Linked DNA regions of Cricetulus griseus. Each later gene encodes a partner of the first gene's protein in a complex. Links are inferred from orthologs where the notes say so. Each region holds a gene or a part of one and is shown in the gene's direction. Other genes may lie near its edges.

Region 1 (4,992 bases):
TAATACTTAACATTTGGCCTCTCTGGAGCATTGTAGTGCATCTGATTACAAGGGCAAAGCCAATGGTGGTGACGTTGGTCCTCCATGCCCCACAGAAGTTAAGTAATAGTAAAATTGCTGATGAGTCTGGAGGACTTAGAAGCATTTTATGAAACACAATGCACAATTTTCCTCCACAATGGGAGTTCACTTAGCAAAGAAGAGAAAGTCAATGACCCAGTACTCCTGAAGTTACTATGCTATGATTTGGGATCTGGTGGTGGCCTCAAGCTCACAACAGAGGTTGTATGAGAGTCCAAGGTGCTGAAGCTACACTCAAGTGTATAGTACTACAAGATAGGTCTATATTCCCCTTTGGTCAGTCCCTGCTAGGAATTATCTAACTGCCCCTCCGCACAAAAATGTTAGTTTTACTTACCATGGTCTGGACCTGTTGAGCCAAGGTCTAAATGAGAGTTGTGATTAGTCAGCTTTAGCTTTGTGTCTTCTGAAATTAATAAAGAAGACACAGAGTGATAAATGAAATAGACAGGGAAGTGCAGTGGGGCACACACAACTCACAAGCAAGGATATCAACCATCTGTAATTAGAGCTAACCACAAAGAAACAGTGGAAGGAATAATCTTCTTTCTGCAGAGAACATTCTAGAGTATGTACTTGACAGCTAGAGCTGTCAGAGTCTTCTTCAGCATAGGCACTTAGATACATTCACTGTTCGAAGTATCTCATAGATATTAGCTTGCCAGATTATTCAATGAGATAGGTGCCAAGACCATCCTCAGCATTCACACAAGAGAAAGGAGCCACAGAGGTGACACAACCAGCCCCTCATCCAATTACAGATGGCATCAAATGTTACACTGAGTGTCTGGAAAGATGTGTTCTCTGCATTTTGAACACCAGAGGCTCTAAACACCAGAGGACTCTAACCAGTGTCGCTGCTGTTCCTGTATTCTAGCATGCTCTCCTACCGCTCTGTGGACATCAGGAAGAGTCTGCAGCTGGAGGAGCTGCTGGCAAGGGAGCAGCTGGAGTATACAATAGAGGAGGAGGTGGCTAAGCAGACCATTCGCATGTGGCTGAAGAAGTGCTTGAAACGCATCAGGGCTGTGAGTGAACCACGAGCACCAGGGCTGGTGGCTTTCCTTTCCTGTTGCTGTGATAAAGTACTCTGGCAAAAGCAGCTTAAATGAGAAAGGCTTATCCTGGCTCACAGTTCAAGGGTACTGTCCATTATACAGGGGAAGTCAAGATGGTAGGAGTTTAATCACATGACATGTGTTATGTAATCACATCACATCGAGGATCAGGAAATGGAGGGAATGGATATATGCCAGTATTCAGCCCACTATCCACATTTTGTATAGTCTGGGATCCCTTTCTCATAGAAAGGTCCCACTCACAGTTATGGTAAGTCTTCCCACACCAGTAATCAAGATAATCGCCCACAAGCATGCCCAGAAACCCATCTCTCAAACGATTCTGGCTTCCATCCAGTTGACAATTAACACCGACACACACACACACACACACACACACACTCAGAACAAGAAGGGCAAAAGATAAGAATGTCCTCAACAGAACAACCCTCCAACAACTGGCCTGATACCCCTAAAAGTGCACCATCTTCATCCACTCAGGGTGTCTGGTGCTGCTACAGCCTTAACTCCACTCCAGCTTCAGGCTCATTCCCCTCAGCAGGCTCCACCACACATCTCAACTGAATCAAATTTGTATAGCATGAAGGTTTAAAAAGCAATTTATGGATATTAAAATATTTATGATCTCCATTTATTAAACTCAACTGTAGAAAATCCCAAAATATCTACTGGGATAAAATCTGCAAAACTACTTTTAAATTGCTGCAGAAAGTTCCAACATATGGTTTATCATGTTGCCTGGTCTCTGAAGACCATCTCTTATGGAATTTTAATGATGTGCCTGCTGCCTCCTCAACTGTAAGTTTGTATGAGACTCTCACTTGTTAGTGACTGTATACTCCATTAGAATATACTGTGTTTCTAATGAGTACTTCTATTGGGCAATTAATGTTTATGAATGCTTTTGACTTATACTTCACATACAGAGAAGAAAGGCAAAACAGTCAGTAAATGCTTTTTACAATGCAATTAATGTTATGTAAGATTTGTTTGATCCTGTCCTTCAGAACAACACCCACCACAGAAACATGCACTTCTGTTAGAGGAAAATTAACTCTAAGAAAATAAACACTCTAACCCAACCTTCTAGAGCAAGGCCAGCTGCCGACTGCAACCCAATCATAGCAAGGCCACTATAGCTCTGCTGATTATATGGATTACAAATGTCCTGCTCAGACCCTACGAGAGAAGCCATGGCCAGGGAAAAAAAAAGCTACTGCTGAATTGGCCTACCAGGCTGCCCTATAAAGTCCAGAACCAAGACAGAAGTACGAATTTCCTCCTCATCTACTAAAGACTCTCTGGTGCTTACAACTTTCAGGAAAGTGGGGGAAGGAGGCTGGTATTGGTTAAATAAGGATAGAATTAAATAAGAAGGGAAAATAAAACACATTAGTGATTTTAAATGACATATAAACTAGCAGAGATGAGCATAACAAGTCCAATTGTTCTACAAATATAAAAGGTGGGAGATGCCTCTAATCTACAGGGCTCATATGTCAATCTAGCAGTCTCAAAACTAGTTTGAGATTCTTACTTGGAACTTACTAAAAGGGCAGCAAATCCATGGGTCTTCAGAGAGGGTAGAAAACACTGTGATGGGTGGGAGTGGGGCAAAGAAGCCAGGCACCTACCTTTCCTCCTTATGAAAGCACAGCATCTTCCTGCAGAAACAGCAGCAGTCATGCAGCATCATCCACAGCCTGAGGGAGAGCCAGCAGCAAGAGCTGAGTCGATTCCTGAACCCTCCCAGCATCGAGACCACCCAGCCAAGCGAGGACACTAATGCCAACAGCCAGGACCACAATACGCAACCTGAGGTAGGAGATGAGGTACCCTTCATCCAAGGATCTTCTGTGGCAGTTGATTCTGGCCACAGACATTTCAAAGTGACAGCATTTTTTTTTTTTTTTTTTTTTTTTTTTTTTTTTTGGTTTTTCGAGACAGGGTTTCTCTATGTAGCTTTGGAGCCTATCCTGGCACTTGTTCTGGAGACTAGGCTGGCCTCGAACTCACAGAGATTCGCCTGCCTCTGCCTCCCAAGTGCTGGGATTAAAGGCGTGTGCCACCAATTCCCGGCCAAGTGACAGCATTTTTAAGGCGACCTTTCGTTGCAAAAGAACCAAAAATAATGAGAACATGTACATCCAGATATTTTTATCACTTAGAATCCAGTTGAGGGTTTTGCTTTGTTTTTTGTTTTGGTAAAATTGTGATTTGTATGGTGTGTTAGTGAACTTTCTGTTAATAAACAAAATACCTGAGATAATCAACTTAGAAGCAGGGAAGGCTTTCTTGGCTCTCCGTTTGAGATGTTTCAGTCCAGGGGTGGCTGACTCACTATATAGGACTATAGTAAAGTAGTACACCATGATGACAGTGTGTGGGGAAATGTGGTGTCCAGGGAGCATGAGAGAGAGGAAGGGGATGGAACTCCAAATTCCTCAAGGACAGCCCCCACCCCACCCCCATAATAACTCAACTTTCTCCCACTAGGCTTTACATCCTAAACATTTTACCACCTCCCATTAGTATCTTAGGCTGGAGAAACAAACCATCAACTTATAGGCCATTCAAGATCCAAACTACAGAAAACATATACTAAAAGCAGTTAACATCCTGAGTGTTAATTACTTGTTTCTTTTTGTCATAACAGCTAAGCTTGAGCATAGAAATATGTGCTTTAAATGATTATGATTTAAATGAAGCTTTGCCATAAATATTTTCTTCCCCTCAGCACACCATGGAAATTTTCAGTAAAATGAGCAAAATACATGCACTTGGCTTTCAATCTTCTTCAATAATCAAATGCATTTGGAGATTTATCCTTTCTTATTTGGGCAGCAGAGGAGCATATAGAATTAAGAAAAAAATATTTGAGTAGCTTCTGTCTACTAAAACACAGCTAATTTCATTTTCAAAGTTTTTCTACATGTGTATTCAGAAACAAAACAACAACCACAAAAGCCAGAGAGCCTTGTGCTATGAGAAGCAGCTGTCAGGGAGACCCCACACCTTTATGTGGCTGCAATGATTTGATGCTAATCACCTGGAATCCATCCAGCACACTGTGCAGTGCCTCCAGTTTCGATGAGCCCATGATGCTCAGCAACATAGGGACAAATTGGAGCATAAGGCTCCATGGCCCAGAAGAGGCTCCAAATGGACCTGTTATGTTCTGGTACAGTTTTGTGTGAGTTTCATGATTCTCTACAAGAAACCAGGAATCACTCTCCTACTTCTTCACAGACTCTATAGGAGGAGTCAGTGGCCCTGCTGCAGGTCTGACCCAGAGACATCTGGCAATGCTTTATGAGGAGGAGCCAGATCAGGTTGAGACAGACACTTGAGACAGGACCAATAAAGGGGAAGTAATTATTTCAGAGCTCTCACAAAGGTATCCAAAAGTCGAAGTGGGGGTTGGTGTTTAAGGGTTTAAAGTATTGTGAAAAACCAAGACCGTAAGGGGCTGGAGGGGCAGCTGTCATTCCAGATGACCCAAGGACAGTTTGCTATACCCACATCTGACAGCTCAAGAACACCCATCACTCTAGCTCCAAGGCATCCAATGCCCCCTCCTCACCCCTATGGGTACCTGTACATGTATGTCATTCAGTTTTGCAGATACACACACACACACAGAGAGAGAGAGAGAGAGAGAGAGAGAGAGAGAGAGAGAGAGAGAGGGACGGACAGACAGACAGACAGACAGACAGACAGATAGGTAAAGTAAATCTAACAAAAAGAAGATGACAGTGGTTAGGAAAGAGCAAGGTATCAGGTGAGTTAGAAATGGAGGCAACATGCCTACAAGTCCTCAGCACCAGGTAGT
Region 2 (5,629 bases), on another chromosome or scaffold:
ACTCATGTGTTCCTGGGAAGGTCCACGGGGTCAGAGTCGATGCCCTTATTTCTAAGATTTCTTGATTGTGGTATTTCACTTGGTAAATGGCAATCCACATAATGTGTGAATCGAGACAATTTTAGTATTGATGATTTATGGTTTTGCTCTCCTGCCTATGCCTGCAGTGTGACCTTATCTTGATGTTTATTTATTGTGTTCTTCTTCTGCATAATGTAGCTTAGACGCTAGGATAAAGCTCACCAGTTCATTCTAGTGAATGGTTTAGAGAGCCCAAGCAGCCCAATTTCCCTCAGGGCTGTCTGCACAACCTGGGCCGTGAGGAACTTGGAGTGTGCAGTTCTTCAGCAAGAATTACTGAGGAGTGGTCCTGTCAGCTGATGTTTTGAGTGAGCTTCCTGTGAAGCTTCTTCTGTGAACTGACTGACTGCTCCATGGCTAGAGGCTCATTTTGGGTCCGGGTGGCCTATAGGAGTGAACACTAGTTGTTCAACTATGGGTGAATTGTGATTCGGGCAGTCACTACTCTCTCCAGATATGTTTCCTTGGGTAGAAAATACCCCAGGTGGACTTCTAGGTCCTTTTGGTGCTCTTAATCTGAAATTAGGCTTTTTTTTTGCCTAAGGCTAAAAAAGGCTCATTGAAAATAGCTGAGGTTTCTCTTAGACACAGCCCCATGGAATTCACACAAAAACATCTGTGAATTTCCCACTTGTTGGTCTGGGTTCAAAGGCAATGGACCTTGGCCCTTCAGGTTGAGTGTTGACCACATTGTCAGTTGACAGGCCAGTGGATATGGTATGTTAATTCTTATGACTATTAGAAATAATTTGAGGAATGCACATGATTCTGGAAGATGAATCAGGGCCAAAGCAGACCAGAGTCTGAGACTTCGCTATCTTAATGAACAAAGAGGTGATCCATCTTCATGTCAAGCCTTGGCTGAGGGCCTATATTTCAAGAGGTTCAGAAATATCACAATGTACATTGAATGTAATGGGTTTATTCTTCATACATTCTAAAGCTAAAGAGTTGTGGTTTGTTTTGAAGGTCCTCTATTTTTACTTCTCATGCAGGTAACAATGATAGTAATATTAATGACAATAAGTAATAGCTAATGTTTTTGGAGTACATGCTATGCTGAGCTCTGTATTTATTTCTTCTAAACTCCTATGAAGCCAGGTAGGTATTGTTATTACCCACATTTTAAAGCCTTGAGAGGTTATTTTGAGGAGAGTGAGCTTTCCTGACAATTAACAGCTAAAGGCACAGGGTTGTACAGGACCAGCTCAAATCTTTCTTTCTGTGAAGCACATCGAACCTGGAGTTTATAAACTCCCTTGCTGCCCAAGACTTCAGGTGTAACAGAAATATCCAGGCTTTAATTTCTAATACTGCCCTGGACTTTTCTGAAAATTCTAACACATCACTGTATTTCAGTTAACTTTTTGAAATGCAATGGAGCTAAAAAAAAATGGAGGGGTGTCAGCATTCGCTTGGAAAGTGCTTTGATTAATGGGATCAAGGGTCATCTGAATAGTGAGGCTTATAGATGACTGACACACTGATGAGAACTCATGGAACAGATTTATTTCTTAATGTATTCACCAACTAACTGCTATGCACATCCCACATTCTACTGAGCAGTACATCTCTGAACTCTTAGAAGGGGCAATAGCTGCTTTTATAATTTAAGCCAGCTTATTAAAAATTAAGATATGAAACTGGCATGTTTTGTTACTGGCACCATCTTCAGTGGCTGACTACTTAATTTTGTTTTGTAGATCTTGGACAGTCAATATTTTATACAACCACGTGTTTGCTACCCTTTCTCAGTGACGATGTTCTGAGCACTTTGCCCTACACGATGATCTCAACGCTAGCTACCTTTCCTCCATTTCTTCACAAGGACATTATTGAATACCTTAGCACATCTTTTCTACCAATGGCCATATGTAAGTTCAACCTCACCTAACCCTAAAACTATCTTTATGGAAACTGTGTTTACTCTGACAGGCGCTTGATTTTCAAGATTGTAACGGGATCACTTGTTCCGTCTACCTGCTATGATTTAAATTTTGTTGTTCCAGCATTTACGTTGAGTTGGAAGTCAATGATGTGAAAGAGGGTTATACCTTAGAATCAACATGTTGTTCACTCAGTTCGTCTCCACCAAATAGGAAGAATGTGTCAAGACGTTCTGTGTTGCCTGCTTATGAATTGTAATGTCTTTTTCCACATTAGAAAAGAAGGTGGACAGAGTGTTGTCTGGTGTGGAGACTGCTCTCTTCTGCCTGTGAGAGCATGGGGGGGCGGGGCGTGGATGGAGAGGGCAGCCGAGAGTAGGGAAAGGTAGACTCTGGCTCCAGCTCTGTCTCAGGTTGCTGTGGAAGTGTTGTGCCACTCATTTCGTGTGGTTGAAATTTCATTTCACGTGGTTGAAATCTAATATGATGCTGATGACTGAATCAGCTTTTCCTTCTTGGTATTTTGATGACAAAATGAGTCAAAATTTGCGACACACTTTGAAAAAAAGCTAAAGCTCATGACTCCAGTATAAGATACAGTCGCAAGCCTGGGACCGGTCTTGTCTATTTATTAATATTTTTGGAGACAGGGCCTCATCACTCCAGGTCAGCCTGGAACTTGATTGATTATGTAGTCATGAATGGCTTTGGATTCTTGATCCACTGTCTTGGACTCCTGAGTGCTGGGGTTATGGGTGTGTGTTACTGGACCTGACTTTTCTACTTTTATAGAAATAATTCGGCAGGGTCCTCAGACATGAAAACAATGAGAAGACAATGCTAAGTTGCAGCTTCTGTAATCACAGTCTCTAAAGTGTTCTTTATACATGGATTAACCTATGTTTTAGGGAATAATCTGAAAAAATTATGGCTTTAGACTTCAATCAGATCAAGATGCAGATCTCAGCTCTGCCACTGGCTAGCTATGCGAGCTCAGGCAGGTGATTTAAACCTTTGATTTTTATCTGCAAAATAGTAATCATAGTTTTCTTGTGAATAATCACAGCTCCTTCATGAATAGTAACCTGAGGTGTCTCACGAATAGTAATTGTGGCTGTATTTGAGGTGTCATGGGTTAGCATAATTAGTCTGGGATACTGATAAAGTGCCAGCCCAGAGCCTGCTGTGCAGTAGGTCTTATTTGCTTCTCTTTCTCTCTCCTTTTTTTTTTAAAGATAGGGTTTTCCTATGTACCCTGGTTGGTTCAGTATTATTCACTCATGGCTACCCTCCTGCCTCAGCCTCCTGAATACTGGGATTATAGGTGTGCACCACCATACCTGCTTTCCTTCTCTTGATTTTATTTTATTTTTTAAAATAGCTCCATTGGTCATGTCTAACTCTTAGTATCAATGCTAGCCACATTAAGTTATGTACTTATGCCCTTATTAAAGTTGCTGTGTTTCAACAACTGGCAAACACGTGTACCTTTTGGGCTATATTGGCTTACCTTGTAGGTGAGTTTAATTTAGGTATAGAACTGTAATTTTCATGTCTTTTAGGCAAAGAGCCACACTCTTTGCTAATACTATTTAAAAATATTCATCAAGTATTTAATGTTGCTAAAAACTAACATTTAGCAAGTAGTTAGATATGAAATATTTTCTAAGATATCCTAATTGTTTAACAACAGGGAGAAATGAGTAGACTGATGGTTGTCACTCCAAGTTGTAGAATACTTCATTTCACTGTCTGTTTCATCTGTGTGGTCTCATGAATCAGTGCTCACTGCTTATGGATATAGTCTTAGAATTTTTAGATCTTACTTTTAGGTAAATAAAGTTGACTGTTAAGTAAATGAACAGGCATATTTTTTAAAAAGATGAATAGCAGATGAGACTGTATCCTATTGATAACAATCTAGCTCACTGTGTCCCTTGTTCTTAGAATTAAATTAGTAATTTGTGGAGAGACATTACTGCAGTCAGTTTCTCACCACACTGAAGGTTGATCAGGTATTGTCAGCTTCTTTGTTTTTTTCAGAGCTGATGACTAATCAATTCTTCCTTAATTAGAAATAGAGATTTCCAGACATAAGCCTTGTCATGTTAAAAATCCTTTCTTTACACAGATATCTGAAGCAACTGAGTATTAAAAATGAGTGATGCTAATCTAAAAAAATATCGTGTGAATTTCAGTGTTTATTAGTGGAATGGCTTGATATTCACTTAAAGGTATGAACAAGTCATTTCATGTCTCTGAGATATAATTTTTCCAGCTTTAAAGAGGGGGTATTCAGAAAATAAGTTGAACCTCCCTGGTTATTTCTGGCTTAATAATGCTAGGTTGAATAACATCAAATGCTATTTGACATAATTGGTACATGCCTTTGTCTAACCCATTGGCAGACCTGGCTCAGGTCTATTTTGTTACTCTAGCTTTAGTCCGTTAGTTTGGGCTTGGCTTCTCAGCACCCTCCTGGTAGTTCAATAGGAGCCTGTCTTTTGTCATCTTTGTAATGAGTAGTAGCTGCATGCCAGCTGCTAGATTTCTGAGTTGTTTCTTCATACATAGACCTAAAGACAGAAGGGATGGACTTTCAGATTCCTGTTAGGATGGGCTGTGGTGAGGATGTGGGCCTTGTCATTTCATCCACAGTTTCTATTTTTTTTTTTTTTTGGTAATTGTTACAGTATCTAGAGCTTCACACTGAAACAGGATAGGGATGTTTAACTTGGTCCAGAATAGTTTTATTTCAGTACAAAGATGTTAGAATAAAAGATGTTGTGTTTTCTAAATGCTTGATAGTCTTTGTCAGAAGGACTTGCTGGGCATGAAGGTTCAGGTTTGTATTGCTAGCACTTGGGAGGATGAAGCAGGAGGATCACACTACAAGTTCAAGGTCAATGAGACCTTGTTACAAACAACAAAACAAAATTGACAGGAAGACTGTTTTAAAAATCTCCCTTTGAGAAGGATGCAGAGGTCATGAGGAAGCAGAAATTTTGAGTCAGGTGTAGATTAGAAGAAAGGACATATGACAGGTAGGATTTTAGTTGGGGGTGTGGTAGAGGAGGAATGGAGGGAGAAGGGAACTGGGATCGTCATGTAATTCAATCTTGTTTGTAATTCAAATATATAAAAATTTAAAAATGTCTCTCTTTGATATGGTATTCTTATAGGCAATGTAAAGCATGGATTTTGTTTTCAGTTTCTAAATGAGTGTCATTAATGATTACATAATTGCTGGTTATATAATTAGTGATCATATCATTGTCTGTATTACTTAGATGATTCGGTTTGGAGCTTTGAAGTGGATCCAATTCCTCAAACCAAGCATTGGATGTGTAGCATACCTACTGTTCATGCCAACTTTGTTTAGTGCCACACTAATTGCTTAATGCCTAAACTGCTTTTAAATAATAACTCATCAATTTATTATAAAAATTCCCCTTGATGTGTTTTTTATTAACTCCTTCCTTAAATGAAATATTGCACTCTTTATTCCATATGTGTAGAATCTACATTGTTTATGAAAGTATATTAAAGGAGTTACTAAGGATCAAAAAACAAATCATTTGCACATCACCATGGAAACCTCTCTTTTTCCAATAAAGGATTTGTGATTTGTTGTCCAAATTGAAATATGGATCTTTGGAAGA
Region 3 (5,472 bases), about 200 Mb from region 1:
TTGGAACTCCTAGAGTCAACACTAAGGGGCACCAGAGCCTTGGACTGCAGTGCCAGCCTGGAGGACGCTGCGGAAGTCCCGGCGCAGAGGAGCCCACCCAGTTGGCCTGGGCAGCAGGCACAGTATGCGGGTGCCCTAGGGTCCTCGGGGGTCCTCTGGAGAAATGAGGCTCCTCAAGCATAAAGCCGGTGGGGCGCACTGTACTGGAGGTGCTTCCCCAGGGCTGGAGAGCCCTTTTGTTGCTTCTTACTTTGGAGGAGGAAGCATGGTCAGACATGGAGTGTAGTGTGGTCATAGCTGCAGCGCACAGGCAGTGCTGAGGAACAGCACCATGCAGGCAGACACACAGACACGAGCACCCGGCGTCCTTTCCGACCCATAAAACCGATTTAGGACACACGCAAACGCGGCGGAGCTGTCTAGGGACCCGAAGAACGTTTAGGCTGAGCCTGCAAAGTCACCTCGTCACTCCTCTAGTCAACCTACTCTTTCTGTAGACTGTCTAGCGAGGGAAATTATGCCCAGCCCCTGGTCCCCAACAGGGACCTCTTAGTCGCCCTCCCGTGGCTTGGACTTGTCCCCTGGACTGCGGGGTAGGGAGAAGCTGGAGACCCTGGACAGCAGCGTTGGCCACTCAGCCTGCGTCCTGACTCCGAAATAAAAAGTGGGGAGGGTCGGCAAGCCCAGGGCAAGAGCCTCGGTGCCCAGGGCCCGGAGGGGGCGGCGGACAGCTGCTCTCCAAGCCGCCGCCCGGAGCGTCCTCGTCCTCCTCCCCGGGGCCGAGTCGCCGCCACTGCACCAGGATGGAGAGACCTCGGGGCGGGAGGAGATGACGCAAAATCCAGCTCTCCCCCCAAAAAAGTGTGCCTCCAGGACGAAGATGGCGGCAACTTAGCCCGGGGACTGAAGATGACTGTGGCCTCCGGAGGCCCAGCGCAGGCGACTCGGCTCCCGGCGGCGCCCGCGGGCAGACCTGCAGCGGCCGCGGCGACAGTCGGAGCGCGGGGTGGGGGTGGGGGGGAGGGACAGCTCCGCCGGCGGCCGCCCAGGCTCGGGGCGCGGGGAGAGCCAGCGCGAAGTAGGCGCGGGAGGCGGAGGAGAAGCCAGCGACGGAGAGGAAGGAGGAGGAAGAGGAGGAGAAGAGGAGGAGGAGAGGAGGAGGGGAGGCGCTCCGGTCGCCGTCAGTGGGCAGCGGAGACGCGGCATGCCCCTGGCAGGGGAGAGCGGGCTGTCCTCAGCTGGGCCATGGGGACCCGCGCGCTGACAATGCCAGGGTGACAGGAGCAGCGCCAGCCACCCCGCCACCTCCACCACCATCACCTCCCGCACTCAGCCTCCCCACCGGCCAGCACAGCACCAGCCTCCGCGTCTCTCTCTCAATCTCTCTCTCTCTCTCTCTCTCTCTCTCTCTCTCTTCTCTCTCTCTCTCTCTCTCTATTGTCTCCCACTCTCAAGGGGATGGGGTCGGCTGATGATTAGGTGGGCAGCAAGATCTTTCTCTAAAGTATGTTAATATTTATGTAGACAGAAAGAGAGAGAGAGAGAGAGAGAGAGAGAGAGAGAGAGAGAGAGAGAGAGAGAAGAAACGGGAGGAGGGGATACGGAAATTAAACCCTTTAAGTCAATGCATATTGTGGTGACACCGGCACAGGAGCCCTCACGGTGGAGTCGGCCAGGGCTGTGCGTTCCCAAAATATGACCAGGGGTGCTTGGATGTGTCGGCAGTATGACGACGGCTTAAAAATCTGGTTGGCAGCACCCCGGGAGAACGAGAAACCGTTCATCGATTCAGAGCGGGCTCAGAAATGGCGACTGTCTCTGGCTTCTCTCTTGTTTTTCACAGTCCTGCTCTCTGATCACTTGTGGTTCTGCGCCGAGGCCAAGCTGACCCGGACCCGGGACAAAGAGCATCACCAACAGCAGCAGCAACAGCAGCAGCAGCAGCAACAGCAACAGCAGCAGCAGCAGCAGCGACAGCAGCAGCGGCAGCGGCAGCAGCAGAGGCAGCGACAGCAGGAGCCCTCCTGGCCCGCGCTCCTGGCCAGCATGGGGGAGTCCTCGCCCGCCGCCCAGGCACACAGACTCCTCTCCGCCTCCTCGTCCCCCACCCTGCCCCCCTCCCCGGGAGGCGGTGGCGGCGGCAGCAAGGGCAACCGAGGCAAGAACAACCGGAGCAGGGCTCTTTTTCTAGGAAACTCTGCCAAGCCGGTGTGGCGCCTGGAGACTTGTTACCCTCAGGGCGCCTCCTCCGGCCAGTGCTTCACCGTGGAGAGCGCGGACTCGGTGTGCGCCAGGAACTGGAGTCGGGGGGCGGCCGCGGGGGAGGAGCAGTCGTCCAGGGGCTCTCGGCCGACTCCGTTGTGGAACTTGTCGGATTTTTACCTTTCGTTTTGTAATTCCTACACACTTTGGGAGTTGTTTTCTGGGCTGTCCAGTCCCAGCACTTTGAACTGCAGTTTGGACGTGGTGCTCACGGAGGGTGGTGAGATGACCACGTGTAGACAGTGCGTCGAAGCTTACCAAGACTACGACCACCACGCTCAGGAGAAGTACGAAGAGTTTGAAAGTGTGCTGCATAAGTACCTACAGTCAGATGAGTACTCCGTGAAGTCGTGCCCTGAGGACTGTAAGGTAGGAGCAGTGGGTTCCTTTCCCCTTCAATGCAGCTTTTTTTTTTTTTTTTGGTTTGTTTCATTCGTTTATCTGATTCGGGTTTTATAAGTTTAATCATTGTTTAATCTGGCTATAAGAACTTGACTTCCTGCTGGAGTTGCTGGTGGCCTGATGCCTTCCTTCGAGCGTCCTTGGAATATCAGGGAAGTCCATCTTTCAAGATAACCAAGCCAAGATTCTAGCTGCTGTTTCTTCAAGCTATGCCATTGGCTCAAACTCTGTTACTGCTTGTCGGGAAGATAGAGAGGGGACCAATGCACACAGGTAGTCAGCTGGCTGGAGACAGGCATGGAGAAGGCTGGTGGACCAGCATCACTTCTTCACTTCCCACACACTGAAGTTGATTGGCCTCAGGAACAAGATAAAGTGTAGCTCTTGATATAGGGAGAAAAAACAAAACAAAACAACACCACCAGCCAAGGGAACACATTTTATGGGTTTAATGGGGGGGGGGTAGCTCTTATTCCTCAGAAAGTCTAGGCCTGCTCTCCTTAAGCCTCCTGTTTTCTTAGTCATCTGTATAGTTATTGACATGAGTGGAAGGCTGTAATTAGCTCTCTACCAATTGATTCTCAATGTTAGGCTGGTGATCACACACCTTATGTAATTGCTTTGGTTTTTTTTTTTTTGTATACTCTGAAGAAATAGTACATTACAAATCTTTGGTCGAAATTCGTGGAAATAATTAATAGCTTGCGTTATAGTGAACAAGGCCTGTGTGTGACCTTGCTGATAAACAAAGGGAAAGTCTAGGCGAGTTTCTTGGAAACTGGAGTATGAGGCCCAGGGCTGCTGCTGTCCGTGGTTCTGAAATGGGGCTTGCTCAAGGAGGCCTAAATTTTGAAGGCTCTGCAGTGACCTTTAGCTAAGAAGAGACACCAGAGGTGTGGATGTTAGTTTACCAAAGAACTCAAGGAAGTTGTGTTGCTTTTCAAAAGAAATAAGACACTATAACTTTTCTTCCCTTTCCTACCTCCTGGACCCCATGTCCTCAGGGGCCTCCTTCCCTTGCCCTTAATGGAGGAGGGGTCAAGGATCATTAACATCAAAGGATCTGTAATTCTTTGACCCAGGGGTTACATTTTAAGTCAGAAGAGCTCAAGAGCCACACCTTACAGTCTAGCTAAACTTAAGATGACCTTGCTTATGGTTTTTCTTTCTTTTTCTTTTATTAAGATCAGAAACTTGGACTGGAATTCAAAACTGTCACTTTATCACATCAATCAAAATTTCATTTCAGTAGATAAGGCAATATTTAAGTTCTCCATGTGTGTTTTAAACATACCTTGGAATTCACTCCTAGGAAGAAAAATCAGCTTTAGAGATAGAACCTAACAATAAATGACTAATGCATACACTGCATTTTTATTTACCCTGATGGGATTGTCACAGAAAACATAAAGATAAGGAAATGATTGGTAGTTCTGTTACTAGTAAAAAGTGTGGCATAGATAATTTGCAGTTAACAGCAATGGCGAAAATTTGAATTTATACAATGCTGTGACTGTGAACCCTGTTGAACATGTCTTGTAATTTGAATTTCGTTAGCTCAGTACTGAAGAGAGAGTATGTGTTGTCAATGGACTGCAGCCATTCTCTACCTTAGTGGAACTGTCCAAACACATGAAGTATTTATTGTTGTCTTCATCTGAATTAACTCTCAACATGCAGTTTAGGTCTATAATAGAAAGATCTACTGTAATTATTTTATGATGTCAGGAGGCCCTCTAAGATTATATTTATATTTTTGGATAAAGTAGAATTTGTTAACACTATAAAAATCTTCACTCTTAAACAATTACTCTTCACATCGGAAAGTAAATATAGATGTTTTTATTTCTCAGTGCAACAGAATTAATTACTGGAGATGCCTCGACGTCTTGCATTCATTTGTTGGTGATAGAGATGTGGCAGTAGGATATACTAATTTTATAATAGATAGTTAAAAATATATGAATTGAAGTTTAAAGTGCTACTATACTTGGTTTAAGGTAAGTAAACAAACTGGTTATATGGAGAAAGTGATTGATGCATATTTCCTTAGTCTAATGAATAATCTTCCTGATTCTGAAAAAAGCCATATATATCTTCATACAAAGTATAAAAGACAGCTTAAAATGTTTGTTGAATTTGAAGGTTGGAACTGACTTCCTGAAAACATTTGCTTATTTCACCATAATTGCAATTACAAAATGACTACTGTCAGGGGCTTGCTTCAGATTCCTGGGAAAAAATTCCCCCTCCTTTTCTAAGCAGTTACAAAGCCAGGGATAGGCTAGAAGGACAGGCTATCTGAAAGATGTAAGCTAAAAGTAAATACACTGTGTCTCTGTAATTGCTAACAGGATACACATAAAATATGATTTTAGTGTTTTATAAATATACTTATTGTAGATAAGATCTATAGCATCCTGTTAGGATTATAAATTAGTGGTATTCATATTATAGGGGAAACTAATTAACTTCTTTAGCTGTTTTGCAGCAGTGATATCTAACTTTTTTCAGTTAAGATTTATTATTTAGTTTTATATTCTCTCTGCATTGGAAATCCGTTCCATAAAATACAGATGCATTAAAATAAAATTTCATGTAACATTTCTTAAAGATCATTTTTGACCAGTTATGCATTTTAAAAACCATTAAAACTCCTCCCATATAATTATATGACTTGAAAAGTGAAAGTTACCAGTAACACTGTGGGGGATGGGGCAGGAAGACTGCCCCATTCCAGGCTAGCATGGGCTATGAATTAGCTTATGATTTGTTTTGTTTTATTTTGTTTATTTTGTAATTGTTTTG

Evidence for each region.
Region 2: the proteins of sodium leak channel non-selective protein (region 1) and Unc79 are in contact, whole or in part, in a cryo-EM structure (PDB 7SX3), measured with the Homo sapiens proteins. The link is inferred for Cricetulus griseus from reciprocal best matches to the Homo sapiens genes NALCN and UNC79. Residues at the interface, in NP_001337678.1 of Homo sapiens: Gln349, Met350, Phe351, His352, Glu353, Gly358, Trp359, Gln360, Leu361, Phe712, Ser713, Ile714, Arg717; in NP_001333147.1 of Homo sapiens: Cys861, Gln862, Ile865, Glu968, Pro969, Asp970, Phe1020, Gln1022, Pro2088, Asp2089, Ala2092, Pro2093, Leu2095, Leu2096, Met2099, Leu2139, Pro2141, Asn2142, Gly2143, Ile2144, Gln2147, Leu2148, Ser2151.
Region 3: the proteins of sodium leak channel non-selective protein (region 1) and Fam155a are in contact, whole or in part, in a cryo-EM structure (PDB 7CM3), measured with the Homo sapiens proteins. The link is inferred for Cricetulus griseus from reciprocal best matches to the Homo sapiens genes NALCN and NALF1. Residues at the interface, in NP_001337678.1 of Homo sapiens: Cys207, Val209, Asn220, Leu222, Ala223, Ile224, Pro225, Thr227, Tyr237, Pro240, Phe243, Tyr406, Glu409, Phe909, Ala1044, Lys1045, Asn1047, Pro1049, Arg1054, Ile1060, Arg1062, Ile1063, Asn1064, Val1065, Ser1066, Lys1069, Lys1080, Lys1081, Gly1083, Phe1084; in NP_001073865.1 of Homo sapiens: Lys278, Glu281, Phe282, Val285, His287, Lys288, Tyr289, Leu290, Gln291, Glu294, Tyr295, Ser296, Val297, Lys298, Ser299, Tyr308, Trp311, Leu312, Gln315, Leu335, Gln338, Thr339, Cys341, Phe343, Ile344, Leu345, Pro346, Asp347, Asn348, Asp349.

What each region holds. Positions count from the first base shown.
Region 1 is NW_023276807.1:273,144,501-273,149,492, reverse strand, and holds part of sodium leak channel non-selective protein, read left to right. Parts: intron 1-958; coding exon 959-1,109; intron 1,110-2,830; coding exon 2,831-2,980; intron 2,981-4,992. UniProt on the Homo sapiens protein: Voltage-gated ion channel responsible for the resting Na(+) permeability that controls neuronal excitability. NALCN channel functions as a multi-protein complex, which consists at least of NALCN, NALF1, UNC79 and UNC80.
Region 2 is NC_048598.1:103,081,756-103,087,384, reverse strand, and holds the start of Unc79 (protein unc-79 homolog), read left to right. Parts: upstream 1-1,852; 5' UTR 1,853-1,867; coding exon 1,868-1,955; intron 1,956-5,629. UniProt on the Homo sapiens protein: Auxiliary subunit of the NALCN sodium channel complex, a voltage-gated ion channel responsible for the resting Na(+) permeability that controls neuronal excitability.
Region 3 is NW_023276807.1:70,699,018-70,704,489, forward strand, and holds the start of Fam155a (transmembrane protein FAM155A), read left to right. Parts: upstream 1-1,695; coding exon 1,696-2,631; intron 2,632-5,472. UniProt on the Homo sapiens protein: Auxillary component of the NALCN sodium channel complex, a channel that regulates the resting membrane potential and controls neuronal excitability.